Linked DNA regions of Oryctolagus cuniculus. The protein of the gene in region 3 binds, or shares a complex with, the protein of the main gene of each other region. Links are inferred from orthologs where the notes say so. Each region holds a gene or a part of one and is shown on either strand. Other genes may lie near its edges.

Evidence for each region.
Region 1: GPAA1 (region 3) and PIGS share a complex: the UniProt entries of both Homo sapiens proteins name them as parts of the GPI-anchor transamidase complex. The link is inferred for Oryctolagus cuniculus from reciprocal best matches to the Homo sapiens genes GPAA1 and PIGS.
Region 2: the proteins of GPAA1 (region 3) and PIGU are in contact, whole or in part, in a cryo-EM structure (PDB 8IMX), measured with the Homo sapiens proteins. The link is inferred for Oryctolagus cuniculus from reciprocal best matches to the Homo sapiens genes GPAA1 and PIGU. Residues at the interface, in NP_003792.1 of Homo sapiens: Gln245, Leu310, Arg311, Arg313, Phe358, Leu359, Ile371, Ala389, Leu390, Trp393, His397, Leu500, Ile504, Leu508, Cys512, Leu515, Thr516; in NP_536724.1 of Homo sapiens: Tyr349, Ile355, Phe356, Cys360, Ile363, Val364, Leu367, Leu368, Val371, Leu372, Leu375, Ile377, Tyr378, Ala379, Gly380, Ser381, Phe386.
Region 4: the proteins of GPAA1 (region 3) and PIGT are in contact, whole or in part, in a cryo-EM structure (PDB 7W72), measured with the Homo sapiens proteins. The link is inferred for Oryctolagus cuniculus from reciprocal best matches to the Homo sapiens genes GPAA1 and PIGT. Residues at the interface, in NP_003792.1 of Homo sapiens: Arg97, Ser98, Val99, Gly100, Glu102, Tyr104, Arg134, Ala135, Pro136, Arg137, Ala138, Ala139, Ser140, Thr141, Glu142, Arg171, Gly172, Gln173, Ile174, Tyr199, His200, Asp201, Val202, Leu212, Gln213, Gly214, Arg215, Ala218, Arg311, Tyr312; in NP_057021.2 of Homo sapiens: Gln91, Gly92, Phe93, Arg95, Arg97, Tyr98, Ser108, Phe211, His212, Thr213, Ser214, Asp247, Phe249, Ile250, Arg340, Gln355, Tyr357, Val358, Ser359, Gly360, Tyr361, Gly362, Leu363, Leu371, Tyr373, Lys441, Asp459, Pro460, Asn461, His462.

Annotation. Positions count from the first base shown.
Region 1 is NC_091448.1:44,067,137-44,070,528, reverse strand, and holds part of PIGS (GPI transamidase component PIG-S), read left to right. Parts: intron 1-642; coding exon 643-788; intron 789-1,645; coding exon 1,646-1,746; intron 1,747-2,868; coding exon 2,869-3,079; intron 3,080-3,392. UniProt on the Homo sapiens protein: Component of the glycosylphosphatidylinositol-anchor (GPI-anchor) transamidase (GPI-T) complex that catalyzes the formation of the linkage between a proprotein and a GPI-anchor and participates in GPI anchored protein biosynthesis.
Region 2 is NC_091442.1:23,521,781-23,526,293, forward strand, and holds the end of PIGU (phosphatidylinositol glycan anchor biosynthesis class U protein), read left to right. Parts: intron 1-2,096; coding exon 2,097-2,431; 3' UTR 2,432-3,455; downstream 3,456-4,513. UniProt on the Homo sapiens protein: Component of the glycosylphosphatidylinositol-anchor (GPI-anchor) transamidase (GPI-T) complex that catalyzes the formation of the linkage between a proprotein and a GPI-anchor and participates in GPI anchored protein biosynthesis.
Region 3 is NC_091437.1:167,910,010-167,915,242, forward strand, and holds the start of GPAA1 (glycosylphosphatidylinositol anchor attachment 1 protein), read left to right. Parts: upstream 1-1,968; 5' UTR 1,969-2,374; coding exon 2,375-2,655; intron 2,656-2,734; coding exon 2,735-2,914; intron 2,915-2,991; coding exon 2,992-3,103; intron 3,104-3,288; coding exon 3,289-3,436; intron 3,437-3,523; coding exon 3,524-3,625; intron 3,626-3,697; coding exon 3,698-3,894; intron 3,895-3,967; coding exon 3,968-4,164; intron 4,165-4,245; coding exon 4,246-4,399; intron 4,400-4,540; coding exon 4,541-4,636; intron 4,637-4,788; coding exon 4,789-4,979; intron 4,980-5,058; coding exon 5,059-5,229; intron 5,230-5,233. Other genes in the region: EXOSC4 (exosome complex component RRP41), read left to right, coding at 531-701, 1,098-1,304, 1,388-1,747. UniProt on the Homo sapiens protein: Component of the glycosylphosphatidylinositol-anchor (GPI-anchor) transamidase (GPI-T) complex that catalyzes the formation of the linkage between a proprotein and a GPI-anchor and participates in GPI anchored protein biosynthesis. Binds GPI-anchor.
Region 4 is NC_091442.1:13,842,594-13,847,794, reverse strand, and holds the start of PIGT (GPI transamidase component PIG-T), read left to right. Parts: upstream 1-1,976; 5' UTR 1,977-2,013; coding exon 2,014-2,200; intron 2,201-2,331; coding exon 2,332-2,509; intron 2,510-4,453; coding exon 4,454-4,581; intron 4,582-4,837; coding exon 4,838-4,938; intron 4,939-5,176; coding exon 5,177-5,201. UniProt on the Homo sapiens protein: Component of the glycosylphosphatidylinositol-anchor (GPI-anchor) transamidase (GPI-T) complex that catalyzes the formation of the linkage between a proprotein and a GPI-anchor and participates in GPI anchored protein biosynthesis.

The DNA.
Region 1 (3,392 bases), on a different chromosome or scaffold from region 3:
CCTGGGGCTAAGCAGGGAGTGGCGCATGAGGCATTAGGGAAATGCCTCCCCCTCGGTTCATTCATTCAGCAGACACTGACAGTACCGGAGACAGAAGGGCAGTTAGGCAAAGGGAACTATGAGCTTAGATCTAGAAGAGAAGAGAACGTAGCCATGCAGGGAGCCCAGGAAGGTTTACCCTGACTGAAATGTGTGTGAGTGCGGCTGGCAGGGCAGCTGGGTGCCAGATCATAAAGGACTGGGCTAAGGAGTTTGAACTCTAATATGACATGAGCGACTAGCCACCGAAGGGTATTAAGCAGGGAACTGACATGACATCAGATAGATCCTAGTGCATAAAAGCTATAGTAATGTAGGTCCAGTGGGACAGTGGCCAAGACAGCTATCTTAAGACAGTCAAAGAAGTCCCTTTAGATGGGGGGACATTCCAGGGGATGTCTTGAGGCTAAGGACTATGCTCCACCTGTGTGGCATGTCTCAGGAGAACATTTGGAGGTCTGTGCCACAGAAATCCTGGACTGGAGGATATCCTGGTGGTCATCGGCGGGGAAAACTCGGTCCCAGAATGAGTGACCAGCAAGGTAGAGGCTGTTCTGGAGCTGAGATCTTGGTGTTCTAACTCTCCTTCTCTCTCTGCCACAGGATCCAGCGCTGCCTCCCTGTACCCTGTGCTCAACTTTCTGCTCTACGTGCCTGAGCTTGCCCACTCGCCCCTGTACATTCAGGACAAGGATGGGGCTCCAGTGGCCACCAACGCCTTCCACAGTCCCCGCTGGGGTGGCATTATGGTAAAAGTCACACTCTGAAGACCCCAGAGCCCAGGCTTCAGGGACAGACAGACAGACATGCCCTGAAACTGCTTCTTCTGTTTTTCTTCTGGGGTCCTCATGCCTTCGGCCTCCTCTGCCAGCCCTGCTGCTGCTTATTTCTGCCCTGTAACCATCTTGCACTTACCAAGGCCATCCTGTGACCAGCTTAGATATTGGCTCTATCTTTGGGGGTCTTGTAAGATTGGGAACCTTGTCCCCTTGTGAGACTGGGAGTTTCTCATGGGTGAGAACTGTAAAATGAGATTTAAAATTTTCTTTTACAGGACTTTCCTGGGGTCATTGAGATAATTTATTTTTCCTTTTATATTATGTATTCCCCAAAAATGTCAGCTGTTTCATTGGGTTTCTAGTTTGTTTGTTTTTAAAGATTTATTTATTTATTTGAAAGTCAGAGTTATACAGAGAGAGAAAGAGAGGCAGAGAGAGAAAGGCCTTCATTCCACTGGTTTACTCCCCAAGTGGCCACAATGGCCACAGCTGCGCTGATTCGAAATCAGGAGCCAGGAGCTTCCTCTGGGTCTTCATGCAGGTGCAGGAGCCCAAGGATTTGGGCCATCTTCTACTGCCTTCCCAGGCCATAGCAGAGAGCTGGATCAGAAGTAGAGCAGCCAAGACCCGAACCAGCGCCCAAATGGGATGCTGGCACTGCAGGTGGTGGCTTTACCCACTACGCCACAGTGCCGGTCCTGGGTTTCTGGTTCTAATGAGCAGGGAATATGTCTTCCTTTTCCTTCATGGCCTCTGAATTGCCTAGGGGAGAGCTGTGCACCTGTAGGGGTGTGGCAACCTCAGGCTCCTTCTCCTTCTGCTTTCAGGTATACAATGTTGACCCCAAAGCCTACAATGGCTCCAGGCTACCAGTGAGAGTCGAGGTGGACATGGTACGAGTGATGGAGGTGTTCCTGGCGCAGTTGCGGTGAGGTCCTGGCTATCTACTTGGGGTGTCCTCTGTCTCCCTGATGACCTGAAGTTGGCCAGCTGCCCCCTGAGATCGTCTGCTGGGCTGCCGAGAAGGGGGCTGCCGAGAGCAGAGAAATCTCACTTGGCAGGAATGTCTTGGCTGTGTCTAGAGCCCCAGGGAAACTGAGAAAGGTTTCCAAGGAGCTCTGTGTCCTCCTCTTGAGGAGGATTAGCAGGTGACAAAACCTGTTTTAAGAAAAATAAGTTCATGTACTTCAGATCCCTGGGGTATGATTAGGGGTGCTTAAGAAGATAGCTGGCAATTCTTACGCGAACTGATCCACTGAGAGTGGCAGTCTGAAGTCCTGTGTTCTGAAGTTGTGTCTGGGCTCACCAGGAGAGTGTTCCGAGTGATTAGTAATGTCTGTCGTGGGTACAGCTTACAGAAGCACAGCACATGTGCCATGTCAAAGGTGGGCTTGCATCATCTCTTAACACCAAGTCCCACTGGCCCCATTTGTCCAAAGAGAGTAGAAAGAGTGAGGGAATTCAACGGAGTTGGTGTTAGAAATACTTTTATTATAGAACCTTTGTCCTTTGTTTTTCTTTCTTTTTCTTCTTTTTTTTTTTTTCCAGATTTATTTTGTCTATTTGAAAGGCCACAGTGGCTAGGGCTGGGTCAGGCTGAAGCCATGAGCCCAAGCTCCATCTGGGTCTCCCACATGGGTATTGGGTCCAAGTACTTGGGCCATCTTCCATTGCCTTCTTAGGGGCATTAGCAGAGAGCTGGATCAGAAATGGAGCAGCTAGGACTTGAACTGGCATCCATATGGGATGCCAGCATCACAGGTGTTGGCTTTATCCACTGCACCATGGAACTTTTTTTTTCCCACAAGATTTTGGAAATCTAATAAAGAAACAGTGGAAATGCAACATTCTGGTTGAAGCAGGGACTGGGGGCTCTGGATTGCTTGGCGTTGCTGCTCACCTTCCGAGACCCTGAGACACTTGCCACAACCCCTGTGGCTCTGGATACGACTGAAAATCATTGGCTTAGAGCAGGTATTACAGGAATCCTAGTCACAGCCTCCCACCTTCTGGTCTCAGCCACTTTGATCTTCTCTCCCTGTTTCTCCAGACTGCTTTTTGGGATTGCTCAGCCCCAGGTGCCTCCAAAATGCCTGCTTTCAGGGCCCAAGAGTGAAGGGCTGATGACATGGGAGCTAGACCGGCTGCTCTGGGCTCGATCGGTGGAGAACCTGGCCACAGCCACTACCACCCTCACGTCTCTGGCCCAGCTCCTGGGCAAGATCAGCAACATTGTCATCAAGGACGACGTGGCATCTGAGGTAAGCAGGCCTAGGATTGGAGTGGCCAGTGAGGCCCAGGGTGTGGCAAGACCAGAGAGCCAGCTGAGGCCTGGGATGAGTGTGGGCGTGCCACCCATGGTGCCCCTGGCTACCTGCAGACAGCCGTGCCAGCTCCCCAGCAGGAGTCACGATCGGAGAGAGGGTTCAAGCTGGACCTCAGAAAATAAGCCGCAGCCTTGTTAGCCTGACCTGCATAGATCCTTGGTGAACTCCAGGCCCCCTCCCTGATATACAGAAGGCCCAGTAAGGCCCAGTCCCCTTCCCCGCAATGGCCCAGGCCTTACTGCTAACC
Region 2 (4,513 bases), on a different chromosome or scaffold from region 3:
CCAGAAGCCAACTGGACGTTGCTGACGATTCCTCTGAGCACATGGGAATGTGTCTCTGCCGCCCAGAAGCTGCATGTGAGCCTCTCTCATCTCCGTACTCGTCTCCTCCCTTCACCCTGTCCCTGTGCCCATCTGAAATCTCCACGGAGCACAGAGCCGCCTCGACCATCAGGCCACCAGAGTTTTAGTTTAGGAATAGCACGTATGTTCAGCAAAACAGTTTCTAGAGGATCAGAAGGAACCACTGAGAAATGTAAATAACGATGATAGAGTGAAGGAGTAGCAAACAAATTGTTCTCCTTGTAACATTGTTTAGTACAAAAATAGGGGCTGGTGCTGTGGTGTAGCAGGTAAAGTCGCTTCCTGCAGTGCTGGCATCCGATATGGACACCGGTTTGAGTCCTGGCTGCTCTACTTCTGATCCAGCTCTCTGCTCTGGCCTGAGAAAGCAGTGGAAGTAGGGCCCCGGCACCTGCGTGGGAGACCTGGAAGAAGTTCCAGGCTTCTGGCTTGTTGCAGCTGTTACAGCCATCTGGAGAGTGGACCAGCAGATAGAAGACTTCTCTTTCTCTCTCTCTCTCCCTGCCTCTGCCTCTCTGTAACTCTGCCTTTCAAATAAATGAATCTTTAGAATAATAATAATAGCAATAATAGTAATAACAACAATACTTCTTGGTGCCGGTGCCGTGGCACAGTAGGTTAATCCTCTGCCTGCGGTGCCGGCATCCTATATGGGCACCAGTTCTAGTCGCAGCTGCCCGTCTTCCAATCCATCTCTCTGCTATGGCCTGGGAAAGCAGTAGAAGATGGCCCAAGTGCTTGGGCCCCTGCAGTAGCATGGGAGACCAGGAAGAAGCACCTGGATACTGGATTTGGATCAGCGCAGCTCTGGCCGTAACAGCCATCTGGGGAGTGAACCAACGGAAGGAAGACCTTTCTCTCTGTCTCTCCCTCTCACTTTAACTCCACCTCTCAAATAAAATCTTTAAAAAAAAAAAAAATACTTCTCATGGGGCCGGCATTGTGGCATAGTGGGTAAAGCTGCTGCCTGCCATGCTGGCATCCAACATGAGTACTGGTACATGAATACCCATCGGCTGCACTTCCAAGCCAGCTCCCAGCTAATGGCCTGGGAAAGCAGCAGAAGATGCCCAAGTGCTTGTTTCCCTGCCACCCATGTGGGAGACCCGGATAGAGTTCCAGCTGTGGCTCCAGCTTACCTCAGTCCCGGTTGTTGGGGCCATTTGGGGAGTGAACCTACGGGTAGAAGTGCTCCCCAAATGGCCCCAAACATTTTGCACCATTTTCTACAAACTTTTAATTAATTTATTAGATTTTTAATTACTTTATTTGAAAGTCAGTTACAGAGAGAGAGAGTGCTAGTAAATGACGAGCAGGACTTCTCACCACAGTCTCTCTGAGGCCAAGTCCGCGCCCTGCCAGCATGCTGCCTGCCCATCCAAACTCCACCTGCTGTCTGGGCTGCTCCTGGGCCTCAGGAAGCACTACCACCTCTGAGAACACAACAGTGGTGTCAGAGGGGAGAGTGTCAAAAAGATGTTCAAATCATCATCTAGGGAAGAGAGGGACATTTGAAGAACAAGACGGGGACCTGAAACACTCATTAAGGACGGGACTGTAGCACCATGGGACTCACTATGGGACTCACCTCCGTGATTCGTGCTGCACTTCCCACTCAGGAGCCAACATGGTCAGATCGCCCTGCTTGGGGAAAAGGGAAGAGTTGCTCTTGGACACTCTCAGATTTTGGGGAGGGAGGCAGTACCCTCCTGAAGTACCCTGTTTGCCGTGACCAGAGGCACTCGGGTTATTGCCAACCATAGCAGATCTTGGGCCAACCCAGCCCACAGTAAGAGGAAAGAATCCAAATCCAGGCGTTCCCACCAGCTGTGAGCATGGGGAGCCACTGACTCGGGGGTCTGAGATTTGTCTCCTGGCCCTGTGGTGCCTCTGGGGAGCTCTGCCTCTGAGGTGCACACAGCTTTCCTCGGGCCCCTTTTAACTGCAGGGCCATCTCAGCAAGGAAAGGATGCTCCAGAGAGCACTGGGCTAACTGTGACCGTCTGTCTTTGCAGTCCTGCGAAACATCTTTGTCCTCACCTGCATCATTGTCGTCTGCTCCCTGCTCTTCCCTGTCCTGTGGCACCTGTGGATCTATGCAGGAAGTGCCAACTCAAACTTCTTTTATGCCATCACACTGACCTTCAATGTTGGGCAGGTAAGAGCTGAGGGCTGCATGGGGTTAGGGATTCATTTTGCAGCCTTGGGTATCCACACCAGGCCCTTGTTCTGTGTCCTAGGGCTTTGCATGAAGAGGGACCGTCCTACCCTCCCACCCCCACCGTCTCTAATCCCTGCCAAGGATTATAGACCAGACCACGCTCAAGGTTACAGTCTACCGAGCTCATAGTCTGGTAGAGAGGAGAGGGAGTTAAGAACACAGAAGCTGAATCTGGCAAGCGTGTGCTGAGCACCATGCAGAGTCCCACCTCCCTCTTTTATAAATGGAGACAGAGGCTGTCTTGCCCCAGGTCATTGAAGGAGCCAGGAGCCGAAATCAATTACGGTTTGATTTCTGAGGCTCTGTCTGTGATGGTGCCTGGGGTGCATAGTAGCCTTGGAGAGTACGTGGAGTGAGACAGCAGAGCAGGGCCAGGAGGAACAGAAGCTTCCAGACCCGAGATATTAGGCGCAAAGCAGGAAGCCGAGAAGTGCTCTGGTCTGTTAGGAGGGTCGAGTATCAGTGGTGGGCTGGGAGTAGTGGAGAGGAGGCCGTGAGGGTCACAGACCAAGGAGTGGCCAGCACAGAGTGTGGCCCTTCCTCTGACCTGGGAAACCTGAGCCTCCGATCCACAGGGGAGCTTGTTAAACACACGGAGTCCTTGTTATTTGTTTAGAACCCTTTACACTCACAGTTGTGATTGTTACAACTGCATGGCTCTGATTGTTTTTTTAAAAATGAAGATTCTCTGATCCCACTGCCAGAATGTCAATTCAGTTTGGAAAATGAGGTCAGGAATTTGTGTTTTAGCAAGTTTTCTCCGAGGTTCTGGGCAGAGGATCTAGTAAACCCCCCGTGGCATCATCCACCCTCCTCTGCAGTTCTCTCATTCACTGTGCTGCCCTCTTCCAGGTCAGGCTCCGTCCTGTCTTCGAGGCCTTGGGAAAATCAGTTGTACCATGTGCCGTTTCCCGGGCCGTGGGCACAGCCAGGCCCCTCCCAGTGTGATGCACAGGATGGGGAGCGGCTCACTGGAAAGGCCAGGAGGCAGTGACTGTCCCCGAGGAACTCCTTGCCTCCAAAGTCAGCTGCTGGGAATGTAGAAGCGAGTTCAGGCTTTGTCAGAGAGTGGTGGGGCTGGTGTTCCCTGCGTGGACGTTTCTGGAGGATTAATGTCCAGTCCAACCATTCGTCTTGGTGTGTGAACAATAAAGAGAGACGTGGATGTTGGGAGCCACTGTCGCCTGGGTGGCAGTTACTGACGGTGCGTGTGCAGTGTCCTACCTGCGTCCATGCAGGCAGTCATCTTCAGGATTCACTTCATGGGCCGGCGCCGCGGCTCACTAGGCTAATCCTCCGCCTTGCGGCGCCGGCACACCGGGTTCTAGTCCCTGTCAGGGTGCCAGATTCTGTCCCGGTTGCCCCTCTTCCAGGCCAGCTCTCTGCTGTGGCCCGGGAGTGCAGTGGAGGATGGCCCAAGTGCCTGGGCCCTGCACCCCATGGGAGACGAGGAGAAGTACCTGGTTCCTGCCATCGGATCAGCGCAGTGCGCCGGCCGCAGCGCACTAGCCGCGGCGGCCAGTGGAGGGTGAACCAACGGCAAAGGAAGACCTTTCTCTCTGTCTCTCTCACTGTCCACTCTGCCTGTCAAAAAAAAAAAAAAGAAAAAGAAAAAAAACAACTTTATATCTGAAGGAATTTAAATGTTTATCCTGGCTCTACTGTCTTGCTGGAATCGCCTTACTTTTCCTTATGTCACAGGGATAACTGGCATGTGAGGGACCTGGGCCAACTCTTGGCAAGTTCCCTGAAATAGTCTGTGGCCTGTTGTCTTGAGTCTCAAGTTTGAGTCATGAAATAAAATTACAGTGACTCTGAAGTATCCACGCAACTTGGTGGATAAGAGCCTCCTCCCCTGTGGCTACCTCTCTGAGGGAGGGGTCTCATAAATGGAATTTTGGAAAAAGAGGGATTGGCATTGGGCGTGGAAACCAAAGGCAGGTGTATCAAGTGTGTTAGCTGAGTTACACAGAAAAACCAGATGAACTCTTAGCATTTTCTTGTCTCTTCTTAAAAATGTCTTTGTGGGAGCCACAACCACTTATGATGGTGTTTCCCATATTGGAGCACTGGTTCAAGTCCCAGCTCCTCTGCTTCCAGTGCAGCTCCCTGCTAATGTGCCTGGGAAGGCAGTGGAGGACGGCCCAAGTGCTTGGGCCTGCCTCCCGTGCGGGAGAACCAGTTGTAGTTCCTGGCATCTGGCTTCAGCCT
Region 3 (5,233 bases):
GCCGCACAGGTCCGGGCCCCTTCCCACGGACACGGTCAGTTCCCAGGCTCGGTGGGAAAGCAGCAGAGCTCGCGCTGCCCTGCTTGCGGCCTTCGCCCCGAAGCCCCTGCCCTCGGGGTGCGCTCTCCGCGGCCACCACGCAGCCCTGCAGGACCACGCGAAGGGATTCCGCGCTGTTTTGTGCAACACAAAAAGGTGCGTACGAGGGAACAGGCTCAGCGCCCCCAGAGCCGCGGGGTGACAAGCGCCTGAGGGAGTCACAACTCCGCGGATACGACCGTATCGTACGAGGTCGCGCCCAGCTTTTAAACTCAACAAAAGTTAGAACGGCAAGGAACCGAGAGAACGGAGCCCCGCCAGCTCCGGCGGCCGCGGCAGGCCGCCCGGGACCGCGGCGCCGGAAGTGACGCCACACCGCGCGGAGCCGCGGGCCTCAGGGACCGGAAGTGCGGCCTGGCCGCCGGAAGTGCCGGGGCTGATGGGAGGTGTAGTTCTCCGGCCGGCCGAGCGCGGAGCGGGCGGCCGCGAGCATGGCGGGCCTGGAGCTCTTGTCGGACCAGGGCTACCGGGTGGACGGACGGCGCGCCGGGGAGCTGCGCAAGATCCAGGCGCGGATGGGGGTGTTCGCGCAGGCCGACGGCTCGGCCTACATCGAGCAGGGCAACACCAAGGCGCTGGCGGTGGTGTACGGGCCGCACGAGGCGAGTGAGCGGGCGGCGGCGGCGGCGCGCCCTCGGAGCGAACGCCCACCGGCCGCCGTGCGGCGCTTCGCGTGCCGGGCGCTCTCGCTCCCTTACCTCGACGGCCCGGCCCGCGGCAGTCCACACGCGCTGCCTGTCGGCGCGAGCAGTGGGCGGACTGGGGTGGGGAGAGCCGGGCACCCGTCCGCCGTGAGGCTTTCCCAGGGTTTGGGGTTTCACTCCCCGCGCAGTGGGGAGGCGGGGGTTGAGGTGCAGCTCCCACAGAACCCGCGTAGCCCCGGGGAGTGGGTTAGGGACGCGCGCCCGAGGCGACTGGCGGCGCTGGGCGAGCAGCCGCTGCGGACTAGGGCGGGGGCCGGGGGCCTGGGCCTGGCTCACGAGGCGCCCCTCTTCCAGATCCGGGGCTCCCGCTCGCGCGCGCTGCCCGACCGGGCCCTGGTGAACTGCCAGTACAGCTCGGCGACGTTCAGCACAGCCGAGCGCAAGCGCCGGCCGCACGGGGACCGCAAGTCCTGTGAGCTGGGCCTGCAGCTGCGCCAGACCTTCGAGGCGGCCATCCTCACCCAGCTGCACCCACGCTCCCAGATCGACATCTACGTGCAGGTGAGCTGGCCGCAGCCCCGCACGCGGAGGGAGGGGCTGCGGGGCGTGGGGCGGCCGCCTGACGCCCCTCGGGGGCCCTGCAGGTGCTGCAGGCGGACGGGGGCACCTACGCGGCCTGTGTGAACGCGGCCACGCTGGCAGTGCTGGACGCCGGGATACCCATGCGGGACTTCGTGTGCGCCTGCTCGGCCGGCTTTGTGGACGGCACAGCGCTGACGGACCTCAGCCACGTGGAGGAGGCGTCGGGCAGCCCCCAGCTGGCTCTGGCCCTGCTGCCGGCCTCCGGCCAGATCGCGCTGCTGGAGATGGACGCTCGCCTGCACGAAGACCACCTGGAGCAGGTGCTGGAGGCGGCTGCGCAGGCTGCGCGCGGCGTGCACACCCTGCTGGACCGCGTCGTGCGGCAGCACGTGCGCGAGGCCTCCATCCTGCTGGGGGACTGAACAGCGGCCGCCGGGCCCGTGCGGACCTCTCCCACGCGTGACCTGCTCCGGAGTCGCACCTGGAGGGCCGGTGCGGTGCGCGCAGGCGGCGGGAGGCGGCTGTGGGCGCTGTGGGCTGCACTGAGCAGCCCCTTCCCCCAGGAGACCCTGGGCCGTTCTGTCCCTTACCTTGAGCTCTAAAAGTACCACAACCTCGTGCACTTGCCTGCATTATTCTCCCCTGCTCGGCCCCTGCCTCCCCGCCCACCACTGCGCCCCCGTCACCCGCCCGAGCCCTGCAGCAGGGAACCAGGAGCTGCGTCTCCCGGACCACCTCGGGGACCCCCTGGCCTGGACAGGGGCAGCGCGCTCCCTACCGGCGACCTCGGTGCAGGGCACCCACGGCGAGGATTCCCCGTCCCGGCCTCCCTCTCCAAGCCCTTCATCCCCGTCGGCTGCTCGCTGCCGCCCTGCGCTTCACCTCCGTCTCCTGCCAGCCGTCCAGCTGATGCTTCCTCGCCGCCCCTGACCGGTCTGGCCCGTTCGTGCACGGTCTGGCCGAACTGGAAGCTGCCTCCCTTGCCTGGGCCCACCCCCAGTCAGCTGAGCCCGAGCCCCGCGGCCTTCCGGCGAGTCGCCGCTCAGAGCATGCGCAGTGGGCCTCCTGCGACCCTTCTGGCCTGGGCATGCGCAGGGGCCTCCCCGCCTTCTGGTCTGGGCATGCGCGGCGGCGCGAGGCCCTCTGGGACCGGAAGTGCGAGCGAGCGCGAAGCCCCGGGTCTGACAGGAGCCGCGCGCCGCGTCGGTGCCCGTACTGGTGGCGGGAGAGGGGTCGTGGGCCCGCGCCGCCCAGCCATGGGCCTCCTGTCGGACCCGGTCCGCCGGCGCGCGCTCGCCCGCCTCGTGCTGCGCCTGAACGCGCCGCTGTGGTAAGCGCGGGGCCGCGGGGCGGGGGCCCGGGCCGCGCGGCCCCGCGGACGCTGAGGCGGCCCCTCTGCCCCGTCGCAGCGTGCTGAGCTACGTGGCCGGCATCGCCTGGTTCCTGGCGCTGGCTTTCCCGCCGCTGACCCAGCGCACGTACATGTCCGAGAACGCCATGGGCTCCACCATGGTGGAGGAGCAGTTCGCGGGGGGGGACCGCGCCCGGAACTTCGCGCGCGACTTCGCCGCCCACCGCAGGAAGTCGGGGTGAGCGGCGGAGCGGGGGTCTGGGAGGGCCGAGGCCGAGGCCGGGCGCCGTGCTCACAGAGGCTCTGTGTCTCCAGGGCCCTGCCGGTGGCCTGGCTGGAGCGGACCATGCGGTCAGTAGGGCTGGAGGTCTACACGCAGAGTTTCTCCCGGAAACTGCCTTTCCCAGATGAGACTCACGAGCGCTATGTATTGGGGGAGGGGGTGTGGCTGGGGCCGAAAAGCATCTTGGGGTGGCATAGGGCGGGAGTCGCGTTGGGGGGTCCCGAGGCCAGGGGAGCCCCTGGGGAGCACGGCGTGGCCGGGCAGAGGGAGGGGCCCTGCACTGTACCGGGGTTCCCGGGCTGACGCTCCCCACCTGCCACTGTGTGCAGCTGGTGTCCGGTACCAACGTGTATGGCATCCTGCGAGGGCCCCGAGCCGCCAGCACCGAGTCCCTGGTGCTCACCGTGCCCTGTAGCTCCGACTCCACCAACAGCCAGGCTGTGGGGCTGCTGCTGGCACTTGCTGCCCACTTCCGTGGTGAGACTGGCTGTGGGGGTCGCTGCTGGCCTGGGACGGCTTGGTCGGTGCCCCAGCCCTGCTGCTGACCCTGCCTCTCACGTGCAGGGCAGATTTACTGGGCAAAAGATATCATCTTCCTGGTGACCGACCATGACCTTCTGGGCACGGAGGCCTGGCTCGAAGCCTACCACGACGTCAATGTCACTGGTAGGTGCCCTGCCCTGCCCTGGTCGCTGCCTCCACCAGCCCCTCGCTGGCGATCGCTCACTGTCCCTGCAGGCATCCAGTCGTCGCCCCTGCAGGGCCGGGCGGGGGCCATCCAGGCGGCCGTGGCCCTGGAGCTGAGCAGCGACGTCATCACGAGCCTCGACGTGACCGTGGAGGGACTCAACGGGCAGCTGCCGAACCTTGACCTGCTCAACCTCTTCCAGACCTTCTGCCAGAAAGGGGGGCTGCTGTGCACGCTGCAGGGCAAGGTGAGGCCCCGCCTGGGGCGCACAAGGCCTGCTGGGAGGAGGGCGCGCTGATCCTGCACCTGTTCCCCCGAAGCTGCAGCCCCAGGACTGGACATCGCTGGATGGGCCACTGCAGAGCCTGCAGACGCTGCTGCTCATGGTCCTGCGGCAGGCCTCCGGCCGCCCCCACGGCCCCCACGGCCTCTTCCTGCGCTACCGCGTGGAGGCCCTCACGCTGCGGGGCATCAACAGCTTTCGCCAGTACAAGTACGACCTGGTAGCGGTGGGCAAGTAAGTAGCTCTGGGCCCCTCTTCCCACGCCAGGGGGTGGCCCGGGGCCGGCCAGCTGTGACCCTGCCTCCCGTGCGGCAGGGCTCTGGAGGGCATGTTCCGAAAGCTCAACCACCTCCTGGAGCGGCTGCACCAGTCCTTCTTCTTCTACCTGCTGCCGGCGCTCTCGCGCTTCGTCTCCATCGGCCTCTACATGCCGGCCGCCGGCTTCCTGCTCCTGGTCCTCGGGCTCAAGATATCCTCCCCCGCCCCACTCGGGCTCTCCGCTTGGAGCCCCTCAGCCCCGGGGAGAATCCCTCATCCTGCTGGGGGGTGGTGGGGGGTGGTGCTGGGTCCTCCCGCAGACCGCGTCCTGGCAGAGTCCTTGACTGGCCACGCCCTGGAGCTGTGGATGCGGTTGCACGAGGCCGGAGCGGGCCCCGACGAGGCTCGGGGCGTGCCTGGGCCCAGCCTTGCCGCTCCCCCAGTGCAGGTGATGGCGCCCCCTCCTCTTCCGGGGAGGGCTTCTAGCGTCCTGCGCGGAGCCTGCCGCTGCCCCGCACCCCTATGTAGAAGGCTGGTGATGAGGGGTCTTGGGGCTCCCTGGTCCCAGGGCCCATCTCCAGAAGCCCGTGTGCCCTGCAGGGTGTGGGGCTGACCTCGCTCGTGGCACCTCTGCTGATCTCCCAGGCCATGGGGCTGGCCCTCTACGTCCTGCCGGTGCTGGGCCAGCACGTGGCTGCCCAGCACTTCCCAGTGGCCGAGGCCGAGGCTGTGGTGCTGACGCTGCTGGCGATTTACGCCGCTGGCCTGGCCCTTCCACACAACACTCACCGGTGAGGGCCGGGCGGTGGGGGCGGGGTCCCCTCGGCACGTAGCGCTGTGCCGGGCTGCCTCTGAGCCCGCACCTTGCAGGGTGGTGAGCACGCAGGCCCCAGACCGGGGCTGGATGGCGCTGAAGCTGGTGGCTCTGGTCTACCTGGCCCTGCAGCTGGGCTGCATCGCACTCACCAACTTCTCCCTGGGCTTCCTGCTGGCCGCCACCATGGTGCCTGCTGCCGCTCTCGCCGAGCCCCACGGGCCCCGGTAT
Region 4 (5,201 bases), on a different chromosome or scaffold from region 3:
CCAGGAGTTTCTCTCAGGTCTCCCATGTGGGTGCAGGGGCCCAAGCACTTGGACCATCTCCCACTGCTTTCCCAGGCCATTAGCAGGGAGCTGGATCGTAAGTGGAGCAGCTGTTGCCCATATAGGATGCCAGCACTGCAGGCTGAGGTTCAACCTACTACGCCACGGTGCCAGCCTGACACTTTTTTATAAAATTAAATACACCGGCCAGCGCCGCGGCTCACTAGACTAATCCTCCGCCTTGCGGCGCCAGCACACTGGGTTCTAGTCCCGGTCGGGGCGCCGGATTCTGTCCCGGTTGCCCCTCTTCCAGGCCAGCCCTCTGCTGTGGCCAGGGAGTGCAGTGGAGGATGGCCCAGGTGCTTGGGCCCTGCACCCCATGGGAGACCAGGAAAAGCACCTGGCTCCTGGCTCCTGTCATCGGATCAGCGCGGTGCGCCGGCCGCAGCGCGTCGGCCGCGGCGGCCAATGGAGGGTGAACCAACAGCAAAGGAAGATCTTTCTATCTCTCTCTCTCTCTCTCACTGTCCACTCTGCCTGTCAAAAAAAAAAAAAAAAAAAAATTAAATACACCACCTCTTTAATCCAGCAATTCCACATGCCTATAGGATATGATAAATTTGTGTCGACACTCTTAACTTGTACAGACAACACTATCATTCTTAATAAGAAAACTTCAAAGAGTTCATATGTGCATCGGCAGAATACATAAAAACAAAAAACTGCGATTACATCCAAGAACAGGAATGATTCTCCAAAACCGTCTTCCCACGAAAGAAGCCTCACACAAAAATCATGCATGTGATAATTTCATTTATAGATTTAGTTCTAGAACATTAGAGGAAAAAGATAGAACAGTGGTCATCTCTGGAAAGTGGAGGGGAGGCAGGGCTAAATAGGAAGAGACATTAGCCAACTTTTTTAGGATTTCAGGAATGTTACATGGGTATATGCATTTGTCAAAATTCAATGTGCACATCAGGTTCACTCATTTCACTGTATTTGAGTTTCACATCAGAAAAAAATGTAAACATGGAACCCCAGTTAATGAAATGCCTGCATGAATTATTTTAAGATTTTATTTATTTGAGAGGTAGAGTTACATACAGTGAGAGGCAGAGACAGAGAGAGAGGTCTTCCTTCCACTGGTTCACTCCCCAAATTGCTGCAGCCAGGAGCCAAGACTTCTTCCAGGTCTCCCATGTGGGTGCAGGGGCCCAAGCACCTGGGCCATCCTCCACTGCTTTCCCAGGCCACAGCAGAGAGATGGATCGGAAGAGGAGCAGCTGGGACTCGAACCGGCGCCCATAGGGGATGCTAGTGCTGCAGGGGGAGGATTAGCCCACTGCGCCACAGCGCTGGCCCCATGCTGAATTATTCAGAGGAAGTTGAATTATGTCTACAGCTTACATTGAGATGCAGCAAACTGTAAGATGGATTTACGGATGCATGGGCAGATCTGCGATAAAACACGAGTATGGTAAAATGTTTGTTAGTGGTAGAATCTAGGTGATGGCCAAAAATATGCTCACTGTATCAGGTGCTCATTCTTTCAAGTCTGAAAAGTTGCATGGCAAAAGAGCCAATGGGGAGCTGGCTCGGGTTAGGACCGGGTACCTGCAGACACTGGAAGCCGAGGAAGGCATGAGCCCCGCTCCGTGCCCTCGCAAAAATGACCTTTTTCGGTTACTTTCCTCAAATATAAAGTGGACACGAGGGTAGTGGCATCGCTCCCTATTAGCATGCACCTCCTGGCGGGTGCAAGTATCTGGAAGGCAGTGGCTTCTCAAGCCAGCTCCCTGCCTCGCCACTACCCGCTTTGGTGTTACCTCAGCGCCCCCTTAAACCCACTAAGACCAGATGGGAATCAGGCGGCCTGACGAGCGAGCAGCTCTGGTAATCGCATTCGGGTTTCCGGGACGACACCGGAAGTCACTTCTCACGCGCCCTTCCTATTGGATGCCGGCCTTTCGTGGGGGCGGGAGCTGCTGGGAGGCGGAAGCAGCCGCTGGCATGGCGGCGGCCATGCCGCTCGCTTTGCTGGTGCTGCTGCTCCTGGGGCCAGGCGGCTGGAGCCAGGCAGAGCCCCCACGCGACACCCTGCGGGAGGAGCTCGTTATCACCCCGCTGCCTTCCGGGGACGTGGCCGCCACCTTCCAGTTCCGCACGCGCTGGGATTCGGAGCTGCAGAGGGAACGAGGTGTGCAGGAGATATCTGGCCGCAGAAAGAGATCTCTGTGGCACCTGCTTGGGGGGTGGGAGGTGACGGCGAGCCTTGGGGGCGGGTCCCGACGCGGAGGGGTCGTCGCTCATCTGCTCCCTCTTCCCCAGCGTCTCATTACAGGCTCTTCCCCAAAGCCCTGGGGCAGCTGATCGCCAAGTATTCTCTCCGCGAGCTGCACCTGTCGTTCACGCAGGGCTTTTGGAGGACCCGATACTGGGGGTCCCCCTTCCTGCAGGCCCCATCGGGCGCAGAGCTCTGGGTCTGGTTCCAGGACACTGTCACTGAGTGAGTGGCCACCTCGGGTCCTGTTGCAGGTCACGGAGGGGGTGGGCAGCAGTTCCGGTCCGCGCGACTCCGTGGGATTAGAGCCTTGCTGGGAATAAGAAATGGTATCACCAGGGAGTGGCATCCTCTGGTTTCCTGCCCCTGATGCTTCTAGATGATGAGGTACCAGCAGATGTGAAACCACTGACGTGTGTTTGGATATTAAAGCAGCAGGAAACAGGCAAACTGGACAACTTTCTAAAAGGCAGTCATGCATTTTATTTTTAATATTTAAAATGTAAAGAGACATAGAAATCCCCATCTCCTGGTTTGCTCTCAAATACGCACAACAGCCGGGGCTGAACCTGGCTGAAGCCAGTAGCTTGTAGCTCAGTCTCGGTCTTCCAGGTGAGCGACAGGGACCCAGGTACCTAAGCCGTCACCTGGTGTCTCCCAGCGTGTGCATTAGCAGGAAGCCGGAGGCGGCAGCAGAGCCTGGACTTGAAACCAGCACTCTGATGTGGGATGTGGGCATTCCCAGTGGTGCTTTAACCACTGCACTTTGTGCCCAACCCCATACTTGTAAAGGTAATGTGTTGGCCCGCAGGATGCTAGGCTTCTGTGTTTGAGGGATTATTTTGGTTGGGAGAGGGCAGGGCTGGTTACCGCTCTTGGACGCAATGACTGCTCTGCTGTCTGGAGAAGAACTGTTCTGTGCAGAAGTTGCCAGTGTGGGCCTCATGGGTAAGGGGTAAACACACTGTTAGAGGCCCAGGGATGGGAACTGCATCTGACTTCCTCCTAGTCCTGCCACAGGAAATCAGTAGGGCAGGTGTCGTCAATTTTGGGGCAATAAGTGGTAGGGCCTGGAGGCTGGAGACGCCAGCTGCTGGTGGGACCAGGACTCCAGCGTGCTCAGGCTCTCGGTTTTCGGGAGACCAAGAACCTGGAATGTACTGTGGACATGGGAAAACTTTAAAATGCTGTGTTGGTCAATGTTAGGCATTCCAGTGGAAGTGTAATTATGACTTGGGTGGAACTTTGGGGCTTCAGTCCCCAGTCCTTCAGATGGGAGTGATTGAAAAGCTGTGAATGGTGGATTATCAGAAACCACAGCCGGCACTGAGGCGTTGTCAGAGGAGGAGCAGCCGGTGACCCTCACCTTCCGAGGAGGCTGTCTCTCTGAGCTCTGGCACTCTTCAATTTTCCTTTTTCTATCTGCTCTGCTGTCCCTGTCTCTCCTTTGCCCCTTATTGCCTATAATGTTTCGAATTCTAGTACTTATTCAATTTATTACTTGTATTACTAATTAGGGAGCAAATCCCTTTTGATATTCCTCTAAGAACACAATTAATTTGGTGTTTTTGCGGGGTCCTAGAATGGGGGCCTTCTCCTTGTTCAGTGAGGTTTTTGATAGCAGACCGCCCCCCATGGCCTGACCCCGAGGCGTAGGACCAGGGCTTGCCTCCCTGCCCAGGGTATTCACAGGGGAAGTGGGCTGCTTTGTCCAGCTGGGCACGCACAGGAGGCTCAGGGAACTGAGCTCAGCTCTGAGCCGTGGGCGCCATCCTGGTGGTGTGGGGGAAGAGAGATGACCTCAAGGTGCTCCCAGCCCATTTGGGAATTGGGGATGCTCAGGACAGGATCCCGGTGCCATCTCCCAGGAGGGGGCCGTGCTGGAGGAGGGGCTGGGACTGGAGCTGCACCTTGGAGTGGGCAGAGAAGAGTGAGCGGGGCAGGGAGAGTCTTAGCAAAGACCTGGGGGGTGCAGGGATGTCCAGAGGAGCGTGAGGAGGAGGTGATAGGTAGGGGAGACCAGGACGTGGACTGAGTGATGTCCCGCTCCATGTGGCCTCGTGGGTGAGCGTGCAGCCTCCTGCTACCGTGCGCTTGGCAGCCAGCTGCAGGCTGGTGGGGGACGGGGGGGGCAGCCCGGGCCAGTGAGTGGGTTTGTGTTTCCTGCAGTGTGGACAGGTCGTGGAAGGAGCTCAGTAACGTCCTCTCGGGCATCTTCTGCGCCTCTCTCAACTTCATCGACTCCACCAACACGGTCACTCCCACGGCCTCCTTCAAGCCCCTGGGGCTGGCCAACGGTGAGACAGCCCCGCGCCCTCGCCCTCTGCACCGCCTGCCCACACCGTGGCCTCTGGGCCCCTCGTCTCCTCCCTCCCCGGCTTGGGCTCCATCCTCAAGCCCCGGGTTTGCAGGCCCCAGCAGAAGTTTTCCAGAGCCTGTGCTGTCCCCGCATTGCCTCCTTCTCGGGGGACGGAGGCCGAGTCCCAGCCGCGACTGTCGGGTGGGCGGGGAGCACGTGGGGCCGCTGTCACCTGTGGACTGTGTTTCCCGCAGACACTGACCACTACTTCCTGCGCTATGCCGTGCTGCCGCGGGAGGTTGTCTGCACCGAGAACCTCACCCCATGGAAGAAGCTGCTGCCCTGTAGCTCCAAGGTGAGGCCAAGTGTGGGCAGGGCTGGGGCACCAGCGCGGGGAGGGAATCGGCAGACGCCCCCCGGCAGGCTGGCAGCCAGGGGCATCGCAAGTGTGGGCAGGGCTGGGGCACCAGCGCGGGGAGGGAATCGGCAGACGCCCCCTGGCAGGCTGGCAGCCAGGGGCATCGGAGCGAACCTGCTCCAAGCCAGGCTCGCCCCGCAGGGTGCTGCCTCTCACCTCGTCTCACCTCCTCCAGGCAGGCCTCTCCGTGCTGCTGAAGG